Arabidopsis thaliana: one gene and its partner. The protein of the gene in region 1 interacts with the protein of each later gene in a pairwise test. Each region holds a gene or a part of one and is shown in the gene's direction. Other genes may lie near its edges.

The links. Proteins that work in one complex are often made in the same cells at the same time.
Region 2: the proteins of AT2G30160 (region 1) and EML1 interact in a protein complementation assay, tested with the Arabidopsis thaliana proteins (one large-scale study listed by BioGRID).

The regions. Positions count from the first base shown.
Region 1 is NC_003071.7:12,874,628-12,881,996, forward strand, and holds AT2G30160 (Mitochondrial substrate carrier family protein), read left to right. Parts: upstream 1-3,171; 5' UTR 3,172-3,388; coding exon 3,389-4,177; intron 4,178-4,543; coding exon 4,544-4,750; 3' UTR 4,751-5,034; downstream 5,035-7,369. Other genes in the region: AT2G30150 (UDP-Glycosyltransferase superfamily protein), read left to right, coding at 31-523, 618-1,495; PBCP (Protein phosphatase 2C family protein), read right to left, coding at 5,175-5,227, 5,321-5,369, 5,447-5,529, 5,600-5,723, 5,801-5,898, 5,982-6,061, 6,151-6,303, 6,394-6,473 and 2 more.
Region 2 is NC_003074.8:3,867,010-3,875,441, reverse strand, and holds EML1 (Emsy N Terminus (ENT)/ plant Tudor-like domains-containing protein), read left to right. Parts: upstream 1-3,709; 5' UTR 3,710-4,008; intron 4,009-4,426; 5' UTR 4,427-4,477; coding exon 4,478-4,564; intron 4,565-4,656; coding exon 4,657-4,766; intron 4,767-4,854; coding exon 4,855-4,972; intron 4,973-5,088; coding exon 5,089-5,262; intron 5,263-5,393; coding exon 5,394-5,462; intron 5,463-5,583; coding exon 5,584-5,829; intron 5,830-5,900; coding exon 5,901-5,969; intron 5,970-6,042; coding exon 6,043-6,321; 3' UTR 6,322-6,448; coding exon of another isoform or gene 6,449-6,495; 3' UTR 6,496-6,620; downstream 6,621-8,432. Other genes in the region: FLR1 (Leucine-rich repeat (LRR) family protein), read left to right, coding at 305-678. UniProt on the Arabidopsis thaliana protein: Probably involved in the regulation of chromatin states. Contributes to RPP7-mediated and basal immunity, especially against Hyaloperonospora arabidopsidis isolate Hiks1. Regulates negatively EDM2-dependent floral transition.

The DNA.
Region 1 (7,369 bases):
CACAGTAACCAGAAACACGTTCCACATCCTATGAATCCAATCAAACCTCAGCCACTCGGAGTCCGCCACGTGGTGGCCATGCCTTGGCCAGGAAGAGGCCACATCAACCCAATGTTAAACCTCTGCAAAAGCCTCGTCCGGCGAGACCCAAACCTCACCGTCACATTCGTCGTCACCGAAGAATGGCTCGGGTTCATCGGGTCCGACCCGAAACCTAACCGGATCCATTTCGCCACTCTCCCCAACATCATTCCCTCCGAGCTCGTCCGAGCCAACGACTTCATCGCCTTCATCGACGCCGTCCTCACCAGATTAGAAGAGCCGTTCGAACAGCTACTTGACCGTCTAAACTCTCCTCCCACCGCAATCATCGCCGATACTTACATCATTTGGGCAGTACGTGTAGGCACAAAAAGGAATATTCCGGTGGCTTCTTTCTGGACTACGTCAGCCACGATTCTCTCCCTCTTCATTAACTCCGATCTTCTCGCAAGTCACGGCCATTTTCCGATCGAACCATCAGGTAGTTACAAAGTTCCCATTTTTACTGATCAAAACCGTAAAGTTCAATACTTTCATCCATAATTAGTGATTTCTGAATCCGGGTTTGTTTCCAGAATCAAAACTAGACGAGATTGTTGATTACATCCCCGGTTTATCTCCGACAAGACTCAGTGACTTACAGATCTTACACGGCTATAGTCATCAAGTCTTCAATATATTCAAAAAGTCTTTCGGTGAGCTTTATAAAGCTAAGTATCTTCTCTTCCCTTCTGCTTATGAGCTCGAACCAAAAGCCATTGACTTTTTCACTTCCAAGTTTGATTTCCCGGTTTACTCCACTGGTCCGTTAATACCCTTGGAAGAACTATCCGTTGGAAATGAGAATAGAGAACTTGATTACTTTAAGTGGCTTGATGAGCAACCTGAAAGCTCTGTTCTTTACATATCTCAAGGGAGTTTTCTTTCAGTCTCCGAAGCTCAGATGGAGGAGATTGTTGTAGGAGTTAGAGAGGCTGGAGTTAAGTTCTTTTGGGTGGCTCGTGGGGGTGAGTTAAAGCTTAAGGAGGCTCTTGAAGGTAGCTTGGGTGTTGTGGTGAGCTGGTGTGATCAGCTACGTGTTTTGTGTCATGCGGCTATAGGCGGGTTTTGGACGCATTGCGGGTATAACTCGACATTGGAAGGGATATGTTCGGGAGTACCGTTGCTTACATTTCCTGTTTTTTGGGATCAGTTTCTGAATGCTAAGATGATTGTTGAGGAGTGGAGAGTTGGAATGGGGATCGAGAGGAAGAAGCAGATGGAGTTGTTGATAGTGAGTGATGAGATCAAGGAATTGGTAAAAAGGTTTATGGATGGAGAGAGTGAAGAAGGGAAAGAGATGAGAAGAAGGACTTGTGATCTCAGTGAGATATGTCGTGGAGCGGTTGCGAAAGGTGGTTCTTCTGATGCTAACATCGATGCTTTCATTAAAGATATTACTAAGATCGTGTGAGTTCTATTGTTGTTAATGATTCAAGTCTATATTAGTATTTGTATAAGTTTGTTAAAGATTCAAACTTTGTAGAGATTTAAGATTGTTTGTAAAACTGTTATTTATAAGTTCATTTGTTAGACTCTTTGGTAGAGCTTAATCTCGTGTGTGCCTAATTTTTGTTTGACTTTGGAAATGAATTGTGAGGAGACAAATATAGAAAATAATTTATGAAATGAATTGATTTTGGTAAAGCTTACTGGCTGATTGGTTACACTATAGCTGTAGATTATTTGCTGTAGAATATTGGATGTAAGTGTAAGCTGTAGCTGTAGATTTGTAAAGATTTTATTCAGTTTGTTAGAGAAAATACTCCAATTCTGCATAAAATTCTAAAATCTGATCTTAATAGGAATGATTTTCACACATCTCATGTTTTATCTACCAATATTTTAACATATTTTGCAGTAAATTTAATATTTTACTTGATATCTAATGCTTTAGGACAATTTTTTTTTTACTTTATTTTTGATTTGAGTTCTTCGTTTTTAAGAATTATCGGTTTATAAATAACTAGATTCTGACCCGCACGTATACGTGCGGGGTTTCATATTTTTAAAAATGTATTGGAATATATTTTTAGTGAAAGATATTATAGTGTATAAATTATAATATGCATAAAAAGTGTAAAGTGTTATTTATGATAAAATAGCTATTTTTTGTAATTTATATTATTTATATTTTATTTGTATTTTGCATAGTAAATAGATTGTTAGATTTGTTTCGATTTGTAGAATAATATAGAGATATTTAGAAAATTTGTGTATTTTTGTTAGTTTGATGTATATATAAATTGATTGTTTTTGTTTGAAATTTGATCAATTAGATGATATAATGTAAAATTTTCTCCGTGGTACACCTTTGGTCGATTTTTTTGTAACTAAAAATTCAAATTTTAAGATATAGTTATTTTGTAAATATTGTTTATTTTGTTTAATGTTTAAGAATATATAATTATGTTATAATTATTAATTCTAAAATTTCACTCGTAGATTATCGTCCTTTATTAATATCAACTCAAACTCATCCCACCATATAATTTCATTCCGTAAAATGAAAAATTATTTTGTTATTTTAAATATTGTTATTGTAATATAATAAAAAAATCGAGGGATTGACATGTGGTACATCTTGGATTAATATATTTAAAAATAATTTGTATATTTAAAAATCGAGGGATTGGGTAATTATGAATATATTGATTTTAAAGTCGATTTTTTAAAAGAACAAAATCCAAGATATTTATTTTGTTGTAGTGATTGTTAATTTACTAAACTACCCATGCAAAAATTCATTTACTTAATTTTAAACTACCCTTACAATGTTGTAGTTCATACAATACTTCTCAATTAATAATATAGATAACACTTATTAGTTTTCAAGGGATAAATTTTTTTCCACTTGTGTACATTTAAATTCTACCAAAGTTTTAAAAATTTACGATGACAAAAAAATAATATTCGTATTCATAATATAAACATAATCTAATAAGTTTTTTTGGTTAGGTTCATATCGCTTAAATTAAAGTACGATTTAAAAAAAAAAAAAAAGTAAAAAAGTACGTTTTTGTTTTGGTAAAAAACACTAAAGAGGCAAAAACGTAAAAAGGCAAAAAATATATTTTTACTTGGGGAAAAAGATGTTAAAGCCCACAAGACAAGGCAGAGGTTTCTCCCATGCTTTGTCTTTAGTTTAACCGCCGCATCCTCTCTCTCTGGTCGGAGAAATCTCCAGATTTGGTCATTTCTCCAATCTTCTCGGAACCCTAATTTAACCAAACCTCTCCTCCTTCAGATTCATCTTCCTCCTAATCTCCCTAAAAGCTCAAACCTTTCTCTCAATCAATTCTAAACAATGGCAACAGAAGCAACAACCAAATTCCCAGAATCCGATCTCCGTCCAATCCCACAACCACCGGATTTTCATCCAGCAATCATCGTTCCAGCTCAAAACACAACTCTTAAATTCTGGCAACTAATGGTCGCCGGTTCAATCGCTGGCTCAGTCGAACACATGGCTATGTTTCCAGTAGATACAGTCAAAACCCATATGCAAGCTCTTCGTTCATGTCCGATTAAACCAATCGGAATCCGTCAAGCTTTCCGTTCAATTATCAAAACCGATGGACCTTCTGCTTTATATAGAGGTATTTGGGCTATGGGACTTGGTGCTGGACCAGCTCACGCTGTTTATTTCTCATTCTATGAAGTCTCTAAGAAGTTTTTATCCGGTGGAAACCCTAATAACTCTGCTGCACACGCTATTTCCGGTGTTTTCGCTACTATATCTAGTGATGCTGTGTTTACTCCAATGGATATGGTTAAGCAAAGGTTGCAAATTGGGAATGGAACTTATAAAGGAGTTTGGGATTGTATCAAGAGAGTAACGCGTGAGGAAGGGTTTGGTGCTTTTTACGCTTCGTATAGAACTACTGTGTTGATGAATGCTCCGTTTACCGCTGTGCATTTCACTACTTATGAGGCGGTTAAGAGAGGTTTGAGGGAGATGTTGCCTGAGCATGCTGTTGGAGCAGAGGATGAGGAAGGTTGGTTGATTTATGCTACTGCTGGAGCTGCGGCTGGTGGGTTAGCGGCTGCTGTAACTACTCCGCTTGATGTTGTTAAGACGCAGTTGCAATGTCAGGTGATTGAAATATCTCTAAAGCTACTGACTTTTAAGTATCTGATAGCTAATGTGGTTATAGATTGGCCAAGCTACTTTAAGTAGTTGTCTCTTGATCCTATAGATCACTTGAATGAAGAAAGATATCTTCTTTCTTCTCTTTGGATATTTTGTGATTTCACGAGTATGATTTTATAGGTAACATGTAGATTGCATCAAGCATTGTTAGAACTATGGTCATAAAACTTAATATTACTGAATTTACATGTGAAAGTCGCATAGATAATGTTTCTATATTTGTGGTTTAGAATACTTGGTCAATAGCTATTTCATAGGATTTGGGTTGTTTTGTTTGTTCTGAGAAGTTTGTTTGTGGTGATGTTTCAGGGTGTGTGTGGTTGTGACCGTTTCAAGAGCAGTTCAATAAGCGATGTGTTCCGTACAATAGTGAAGAAAGACGGTTATAGAGGACTTGCTAGAGGATGGCTACCAAGAATGCTCTTCCATGCTCCAGCAGCTGCGATTTGCTGGTCCACTTATGAAACAGTCAAATCTTTCTTTCAAGATCTCAATGGTGAAGCAAACGCAGCTTGAAAAGACACAAACATACATGCGTTTGGCATAATTTACTTGCCTGATTCAGGTCATTGATTCTTCATAGAGCTAGCTACTGGTTGGTTAGTATTAACACTAGCTCTTAGAGAAGATCTCTGTTTGTATAATTTATTTGTTTTCTTCACGCAATAATGTTATCAGATTAGAGTTACAACAACCCCAAGGCCTTTTTTCTGGTTTGCATTGATAGAGAAATTTTGTACTTTTATTTGTTTTAATGAGAAAGATACTATAAAGAGATAGATGAGCTTAAAGAGTGTCCATTCACAAGGTCAATGATAAAGATTCGATTCTTATTGTTTGAACTTTGAAATACCATTTATCAATTTCTGTGAAGAACAAGTTTCTTACAAGGACTTGTACAAAAAGAATAAAGAGAAGATCTTATCATGAACAGAGTGATTCATGAGCTAACAACTTTGGCAACGATCACAGTGACATCATCAAGCTTCCCTCCTGCAATTTTCAGAACCAGAGATCTCAACTAAGAAACTACTCTTGTTTAGTATAATATGTCAGGATAATGCATCAACATTGTTGTTTATTTACCTGTAAGCTTCTTTCCTAGTACCTTCTTCCAGAGAGGAACATCAAACCCCTGCACATATACGTTGATTCAGATATACTTTGCGTGAACTGGTAAAATTCATTCTTAGATCAAGTTAAAAATCTTACCTTGGCTCTTGCTTCTAATGCATATGGAGACTCAAACTCTGTATCTCTTGAATGGCTACTCGCCACTTCAGCTAATAACCTTGCTGTAATGGTTATACCAAAAAACATGTAACTTACTAAAAATCAAGAGAGATGGTATATACATATACATACATGACTCTGCAACATCTGTATGCTTGGTCACTATAGAAACGATCTCATGATCAAACACATTATCGAAAAGTCCGTCTGAACCCATCACGATCACGTCTCCCTTCTGTACTTCCACTATGCTAAACTGCTTGAAATGCAAAAAAAATGATACAAAGGTACAATACTAGCACAAATCATGAAGAGTGGTAAGGATTTATTTACCGATGCATCTAGATAAGTTTGAGCAGACCCCTCAGAGCTTAGTTGGTAAGGACAGTCAAAATAGTGCTCTTGTGGAGCAGTGGCAAAAATAATCTGACCTGAAAATGAGAATGAAAGAAGAAGATCTTTGTCAAAGGCTGAACATGAAAACAATCTAGCATCTTAGGTTACAGTGTAGTACCTTCCCGAAGAAGCTTAAGTCCACAGTCACCAACATTGCCTATTTTGAGAATACCCACTTCCTCAAGCATAGCTAGAATACTGCTTTCATCAATAACCGGGACATCAAGCTATCCAAAAAGGGAACAAAAACCAATCTTTGAAGAGAATAACAATCAAATCTCACTCACATTGTGGCAGAACCTCTAGAAGTAGTTGCGGTATGAGCTTTGTCAATGAGAAAACCAGGATCATATCTGACCTCTTGGTCATCAACTAAACGAGAAGCGTTAGCCATAAGTTCTTTAGAGAACAAGGAAGGATCAACATCTTGTTCAGCCCAACTGAGACAGAAAAAAATATAAACTTTATCAACATTAAGATAAACCCACAAAGAAACTCAAAAGTTAGCATAACCAAAAGCTAAAGCTTACCCGGAGACACCATCTGCAACAGCCATGACTCCACCTCTATAACTACTTACAAAGAAAGCATCTTCACCACCTTTCTCTACCTATATAATTTCGACACTAGATGTCGATTTTAATTGCATAAATATTCTCTAAGCAAATCCAAATTCATTACATCCAAAGAAGAAAAACAGAGACTTTGGTCTGGTGTTACCTTATCTGGATGAGGGATTGCGTGAATTCCGACAGATAAAGAGAGTTCAGGCCTAAAGGAAAATGCAAACATATTTTGACAAATGAGTTCTCAGTTTCGAACAACGTAAACTCGAAATAGTACAAGAGAGAGCAGAGACCGAAGTGGTTGGATTTCTGATGGAGCACAGCGACAGAGGAAGTCAACGCGACTAGGGTTTGGATGTGAGAGACGAAGCGATGGTATTGCGTGAGGAACCATCATTCTCGTCACTGGAATCGCCATTTCCTGCAATGGCTTGCTCTCTCGTTCTCTTTCAATCCTGTGGTGGTGCGTACTTTGTGTGTGAAGGTTGTTTAATTTTAGAGATAATTATTAACTAGAAGAGATAGAATCAATAAGCACCAGTGGTCTAGTGGTAGAATAGTACCCTGCCACGGTACAGACCCGGGTTCGATTCCCGGCTGGTGCACTAAGCTATGATGATATTGGCTTAAGCATTGGGTGGGTCCTTTGCATTTTTCTGAATTATCAGTTGAGATATGCCACACCTCTGAGCTCTTTTTTTTTTCCCTTATGTAAACTAAATTTTTCAAGTAACATTTTTTGTATTATCACTCAATTTCTCTTACTATATTCCATACTATTTCTGTTCTTGAAATAAAGCATCTCGGCCAAAAAAAGGTAAAACCAACGTTTCTAATTAATTTTCTTACATCCAAATCACTCGATCATTTATGTGACATACTCAAAGAAAGATAAGTTTTTTCGCATCCAAAAAATTGATATTGTCAATAATATTCAATA
Region 2 (8,432 bases), on another chromosome or scaffold:
TAGTTAATACTATGCTTTTGGTCAAATGTTTATTTATTAGTTTTTGGCTTGGCTTGTGTTCAAAGTCAAATGTTTATTTATGTCGGAATCGTAGAACTAGCCTCGTGCCTTAAAGTGTTAATGTAACCACTAACCAATGAAGATTTTATAGTGGGATTACCCTTAACTAAACTAGTTACTTACTTATATTTGGTAATTGGTCCCCAACAAAACACAAAGAAACTTTTATAGTTAAGATCTCGCACCAAATAAGATTTTGTTGATAAATTTCTAATCCCGGTTTAATGAAATTTTTGCATTGCAGGAAAAATACCGGAATCGTTGTCTAAATACGACTTCAACGCAGTGGATTTGTCGGGAAATGGTTTCGAAGGAGATGCCTTTATGTTCTTCGGACGGAACAAAACAACAGTACGAGTGGATTTGTCGAGAAACATGTTTAATTTCGATCTCGTCAAGGTTAAGTTCGCTAGAAGCATAGTTTCGTTGGATCTGAGCCAGAACCATATCTACGGGAAGATACCACCAGCACTGACTAAACTACACCTCGAGCATTTCAACGTGAGCGACAACCATCTCTGCGGAAAAATCCCAAGTGGCGGTCTACTTCAGACCTTTGAACCATCTGCCTTCGCTCACAACATCTGTCTTTGTGGAACTCCCCTTAAGGCTTGTTAATTTGGTTTAATCTTGGCGGAAGAATAAAAATAATGTTGAATATGTTATGATGATGTGTTCATTATCACCGCCAAACCAAGTTTATTGTTTCTTTGTTATGAATTTAATTTAATGGCAAGAATTGGTTACGTAAGAATGTTGTGAGGTATATTCACAAGTCTAATCTTTATAACACTAGATAAGTCCGCCTAAATAGATGGGTGTAAAATGTAACTGTAATTTTTTATCGATAATATTTAAATTTTGAATAGTAAAATAATAATCTATACATTGTTCTTGATATATAATTTTGAATAGTAAAATAGTAGTCTTATGCATTTTATTTTATAATACCCATTCAATCTTATTGATGATATTTGAAGTCTAAATAGTAACTTACACACTTTTTCTTTATTATAATTTAGTATTTAGAAGAAAAGAACAAATTTTTATCTTACATATTCAATTTTGTAATACAATTTAACTATCTATTTCATAAAAAACTCGATTTTAATTATATACACTTCATCTTACTTGATAATGATTTCATGTCAAAATAATATATATGAGATCAAATCTATATCTTAGTTAATATTAAAAATTATTAACAATTAACAAAACATAATTAATAATAATAAAAATTTTGTTAATACCATACATATTAAAAATTTGACCAATAACATATATAAATATTTTTGGTTAATTTTCCTTTTGGTTAAGAAAAATAAAATGTAATATTTTTTAGATATATATATATGAATTAGTATATGTTAATAATGATTTATTTTTTTGTTTTCTATTTCTTTAAGAAGAAAAAATTTAATTGATTTTTTTTTTAGTATTTCTATTTCTTTAAGAAGAAAAAAATTAATTATGTTCTTACACGTGTCAACATCTGATCGATAGACTTGACACATGGCATAATCCTATGAGTTAGTAATTTTCAAAACCATACTTTACATAACAAAATATATGCGATTCCATTACTCGATTTTTTTAAGTCACTTCTAGCTATTTTATATTTGAGCAACCGATAAACTAAGAACAGAACAAAGACAGAAGTGTTAGAATTGAGTGGTGCAGTGACGAACGTATGGTTAAATTATTGAATATCGTATCAAATAGTTAAAACAACTAAATAAAAATATATATATGCACCATGCTTTATGAGTTATGAGATGAATTGAATTTATGTTATAAAAAGGTTATTGTACGTTAGAACTTTTAGGAGTAGTGTAGAACCCAAACTGTACAAAATCAGTAACATTACACAGCTGTGTTCCATTGAAGTCTCTGTTATATAGATCACAAGTTGTTTAACTGCTCAAAGTAACCACACCCATGATCACAATGAATCTCCTTCTTCATCTCTCTATCTTCTTCTCCATCATCTTTATCTCTCCCATCTTCCTACAGTTGCAACCCAAATGACAATAATGCCCTCCTTCAAATCAAGAAGTCCCTTAACAACCCTCCCTACCTCTCCTCCTGGAACCCCCGAACCGGCTGTTGTACTGGCTGGATCGGAGTGGAATGCACTGACGGCCGCGTCACCTACCTCTACCTTTCCGCCAGTACAATCTCCGGAAATATCCCACCCGCGATCACCATGCTCAAGAGTCTCAACCTCCTCTTTATAAAACACACCAATTTCTCCGGTCCGATTCCTGATAACATCAGCGACCTCAAGAACCTCACGTTCTTGGACCTTTCCTTTAACCAATTTCCCGGTCCAATTCCCGGTTCGCTATCTCAGATGCCCAAGCTTGAAGCCATTGAGATCCACGACAATAAGCTAACCGGTTCTATACCAAACTCTTTCGGTTCTTTTGTTGGCAACGTCCCTGAACTCGACTTGTCTAACAATCAGCTCTCAGGTAACCATCATTTTTAACATTCTTTATTATTAATAAAGTTATAAATCCCGGGTTTTATGACACTCCATTTCAGGGAAAATACCGGAGTCATTGTCAAAACACGACTTCAACGCTGTGTTTCTGTCGGGAAACAGTTTAACCGGAGATGGTTCCATGTTTTTCGGACGGAACAAAACAACAAGACAACTGGATCTGTCGAGAAACATGTTTCAGTTCGATATCTCCAAGATTGAGTTCGCTAGGAGCATACTTACGTTGGATCTGAGCCAAAACCGAATCTTTGGTAAGATTCCTCGGGTGTTGACTACCCTACGAAGTCTCGAGCGTTTCAACGTGAGCTACAATAGTCTCTGCGGGAAAATCCCAAGTGGCGGTCGCCTTCAGACCTTTGAACCATATGCCTACTCTCACAACCTCTGTCTTTGTGGGACTCTGCTTAAGGCTTGTTGAATTGGTCTAATGTTGGCGAATTAAAAAATAATTAACGTTTTAACCATATGATGTTTGTGTTAATAATCATTACCGCCTGCCAAGTCAGAGGTTCCTTATTAAGAGAATTTAATATCAAGAAAAGGGTAAGAATGATGTTGAGATATTCAAAGTGTATCTCTATAATCTCAGTGTGCATGGTTCTACGTAAGTCTCGTTCTCGTATTGCAGGTTAGGATTAGTATATCATCATATGTCTCAATTCAACTAACTTAACCCCTTGTCTCGCAAGGGGGCATCTAGTGATCACATATATACAAGTGTTTCGTTATGTAGTAGCTAGCTAGTGATCAACAACGTACACTGATAAAAGTTTATTAGTTTCTTAGTTGTTATATCTAGCAATAGATTTGACAAAGTAAGGATTAAAAATCGATACTAAAATTTTTAATTTAATAATTTTTGTTTTACAAAATTGATTAGTTGGTGAAATATATCACAAGCATAATTTTAATCATTGAAATATATCACAAACATGATTTAGACTTTACAAAGTTTCAGAGAAACCATCCATACACAACAAACCATATATAATCAGGAACGATATACAAAACAATATGACTTTGTGTGACCAAAAAAAAAAAAAGTCAAAAGATATTAGGCTATATGGGCCGAAGTTGCTATTATTGGTGGGCCTTAGAGATCTTAATACCAAAACGAATCGTTTCGTCTTTAAAACGACTGTTCGGCGATTCCGACGCCATCCCATCTGAGTCCCGGAGAAATCGATCGTAGCTCTCTGTGCCCTTCGCTTAAAAAAATATCGCTTCTCTCGAGAGGGGAAGGAAAGTTCATTTCTTTTTGTCCAATTCTTTCAACTTCTCGTTCCAATCCCCTCAATTCTCCGTTTCACCGAACGCACTTCGAACCCTTAATTGCTTTTTGCGGGTCAAGTTTCGATTCGAGCGTTTTAGGGTTTCGTATCTGAATCGGTCGACAAGATAAACCCTTTTGTGGGGGTTTCCTCTAGATTTCGAAAACAGAGGTATGTTAAACGTTTCTGCCCCTTTTGAATCTCGTTCGAGCAATTATTGAGTTAGGCGTTCGATGATGAACCTTGTGATAGCTAATCTGCGAATTGAGCTTGAGTTAGGCCGTTCTGGTTCTTACCTAATTCAACACCCTTACTGTTAGTTTTAGGCACGGAAGTCTTAAATAGGGTTTAGGGAATGGTTAACCGAGGTTAGGATTTAGGGTTTCGAAAAAAGTGTTCAGCTTCCGTGGTTTCGTGAATTAGGGGGAATTGTCTTGTCTTGTTTATGCTTCTGCAGCCTTTATTTTATGTTTCCTTTGGATTTTGTTCAATTCTAAAGTTCTTCAGTAGTTGGCTGATAAATTTGTTATCATCAGCTTTCTAATTACTGATAGCAACTGTTTTCCACATGACTGTAAATCTCTAAAAGGGATAGCTTTCGTTTGGATGGAAATTCTCTGAAACTAAACTACATAGTGATATGGAGACACAAATTCATCAACTTGAGCAGGAAGCATATACCGCTGTTTTAAGGGCTTTTAAAGCGCAGTCTGATGCGATTTCTTGGGTACTCTCTTCCTCCTTTGCATTGATTGTGTTCTGTCAGTCTCACGACTTAATCTCTGGAATATATTTTGTTGTACCATTTCCGCAATTTAGGAAAAAGAAAGCTTGATAACCGAATTGCGTAAAGAATTGAGAGTATCTGATGATGAACATCGAGAGCTTCTCAGTAGGGTCAATAAGGATGATACTATCCAGAGGATAAGGTTAGATTGTTTATTTGCACCAGCATAAACAAAATTTATCATGAATCTCGTTTATTTTAATATATGTTGTATCATGGAACTGTACCAGAGATTGGAGACAGGGAGGCGCAAGCCAAATTACTAGACATGCAACTATTCAGCCTTTTGATGTTCTTCCTAGTCCCACTTTCTCAGCTGCCCGAAAGAAACAGAAAACATTTCCATCTGTAAGTCTTATATTCTAGCCGTATTTGCACCAATGATGGTTCTTTAATACTTTCTTCTGGTTAGCCACATTGTGTTGTTTTATGTTATTTCTTAACCAATTATCTGTGAGATGCAGTATAATCCATCAATTGGTGCGACTGGAAATAGGTCATTCAATAATCGTCTGGTATCCAGTGGCATATCAGGAAATGAATCTGCTGAAGCTCTGATCGGAAGAAAAGTGTGGACAAAATGGCCTGAAGATAACCACTTCTATGAAGCAATTATAACCCAGTACAATGCAGATGAGGTACTATTTTTGTTCATTGAGTGTAGATTGCTAATTGGGTAGATAGATGGTTTGTTGTCCCTGCCAATTTTTATAGAAGTCTCTGATTATCTATTGGATTTGCAATTTACGCACTTGTTTTATTCTCACAGGGTCGGCATGCTTTGGTGTATGATATACACGCAGCTAATGAAACGTGGGAATGGGTTGATCTCAAGGAGGTAATCGTTACATGAACATTATCTTAATATTCTTTGCCTGTGGTTGCATATGTTTTCGTAAGCGATCTGGTGTCTGTACATACTGATGATCTTGATAAGAGCTGACATTATTATTGTTTAGATACCACCGGAAGACATAAGATGGGATGGGGAGGAGAGTGGGGTAGCTTTAAACATTGGACATGGAAGTGCATCCTTCCGTGGCAACAGAAGAGGCCAAATCCATGGTGGTAGAGGGAGAGGACCAAGAATTCATCAACCAAGAAGGGAACTTGTACCGCCACCAACACAACAGAATGGTAGTGGTGGGCGGAGAACTTCCTCTGATGATATTGAGTTGTTCAACACAGACTCGCTTGTGAAGGAGGTACGTGTTTTTTTATCTGCTGTATACCCATTAAGCTCAATGCCTGCTCTAACATGAAATTTTTGTTTTAGGTGGAGAGAGTTTTCGATTCTACGCATCCTGATCCACTCGAGCTCGACAAGGCCAAGAAAATGCTCAAGGTTTGAGATTAATACCTTTTGTATGTGGTATAATGTTGTGATCAGAGAACAATAACACTAGTTTGTGATGCAGGAACATGAACAGGCACTCATTGCTGCCATTGCAAGGCTTGCTGATACTTCGGATGGCGAAATGGGTAATAATAACAAAAGCACGCTACGTTTAGTTTGCAACCTCAGAATAATATATTATTTACCATTGAATTTTTGTGTTATGATGATAATATCAAGCATAATTACAAACTTAATCCTAGGAAAAATAATAAGAGAGTTAATACACACTTGCTCAGCTTGTGATTTCAGCGTAACTTGTAAACAGTTGAATAGCTTGAAATATAGGTCTTCTTCTTAACGCACACTTGCCCACTTCAGTGTAACTTCGTAAACAGCTGAATAGTTGCCCAGCTTCTTGAACCTCGATTGCATACTTCTTCCTCATGTTGAATCTATAATTGATTTATCTGCTTGTAACTCATCAGATGGAGATCCACCATATTCGCATGATCATCCAATGCCACAGGGATGAGAGAAAAGCTGTATGTTACTCAGGATTCTGTGGTCATGAAACCCAAAGGACTCTGGATTTAAGAAGAAACAATGTGCTCGGCTGACAAAGAGGTTGCTCAGAAGATGGAATAGTGAGTTTCTTCTAAATTGGTGTCAGGAAAATGTATGAAAATTAAATTTGTTAGGGAATGGAAAGTAGGATTTTGGTTGTAAGCACAAGTATTTGTTTTAGAGAGTGTAACCTGTGACTATGATTGACCATGTAAATGTTGCTGAGTTTACCTCCAAGAGATAACTAGACCTGCCATGACAATGCATACTGTAAGGTTAACGTGTATGTAGCCTTGTTGAGATGCATGCTCAAAGTATCCTTGACCATAACATGCATATTACATTGCACAATAAAATCTGAATTTGCATAACAAAAACACTGCGTTTAGCAAAAGAAGCACCTGGTTTCTCGTAGAAATAAGTTCCACAAATCCTTCAATGCGGTCATAGCAGGCTTAAGGTGATCATCAACATGCTAACGAGGAGCTAATCAGATGATGCATTCATAGCAGAAGACATAAGAGAAGGTAGAGAAAACACTAACCCCCTTGCAATTTGCAGCGGATTTCATTCATCTTCGATCTAGCATGTTTGATTTATTCAATCGAATTCTTCTAAATCAGCTCGTTGCGATTTCTTTGTAATCCCTACGAGATAACGGATTTGAAGGTATTAAGGTCCCAAACTACTTGACAAGAGCCGGAAACAAATTCGACACCAGAGACCGATGATGAAATAAAGCTATAGAGAGCAGGAAATATGTAAAAAATCAAACACAGAAAGCGATGAATCAAACAAAATCCTAGCTCAAGAAGGAATTTTATAAATACCTGGAGACGAAGAACCCTCCTTAGAGAGATTGACTGGGATCGGGTTTCCAGTCATCATGTAAGCTGAGAAATCGCAGAATCGGGAGGAATAACGGAGAAGAGAGAAGAAGAAGAAGATGATCGGAGATTATGCGATTGTTAGAAGTCGAGAGAGAAAGGGGAAAGAAGAAGCTGTCAATAATAGAGAATTGTAGAAGCAACGTAGATATTCTTTGACCCGTTTACCTTCTTCCTCTTTCTTTTTTTGCCACGCATATCTTCTTTTTTTCCCAATTTTTACTCTATTTTTTTAGAATAATGGAATTTGTTCTAATAAAATTAAATTCATTAGGTATTATTTTTTATTTGATAATATTAAAAGGATTTTTTTTATAAAAAAAAGGAAACTAGGTAGATGACAATGAAAATATTCACCATTTTTTTCCCAACTAATCCGTGTTCTTTTAGATTTGGCCTAATCCCTCTAAGTAGTTATATTTTGCCTATTCCCTTTCTATCGTCTATTCCTAAAGAACAAACATGTAATGCATTCGTTTGTTCTCCCAAAGCCTAAGCAAAGCTTCTTTGGTATTCCTCTCTTAAGAAAAAAAATACAATGGTGCAATATGATTTCAAGAATATAAGTGTCGTCCCAATCGGAAACGAGTTTGTCGATCTCAGTCTTTCCCGCGTTCATCGTCAGACTCCAAATATCCGATCCTTAAACTGATCCCTCAAACTGATCTTAATAATGATCATAATGCTTCAGACTTGTTGGTTGATTCAGACGTTTTGTTTAGGCTTGAGGAATTGGCACATGAAGAAGGAATCAAGAAGGCTCATCATGAGAAACAAGAAGATGATTTTGTGATGGCCAAGGTACATATTAGGGAGGATCACAAGGACCAACTTGTTGCATTTCGCAAGAATATTCAACCCTTGCTGATTTTAATAGCCTTAGCATTTTTGGCTCTTGTAGCTGTAGGGAATACTTATCAAGTCATTCAAGAGTGTCTTTAAGCTTTTGAGTCTCTTTGGCTTATTGAGTTTTATTTTTGTTTCTTCCACATTTTTTCTTTCAATATTTAACATTTTT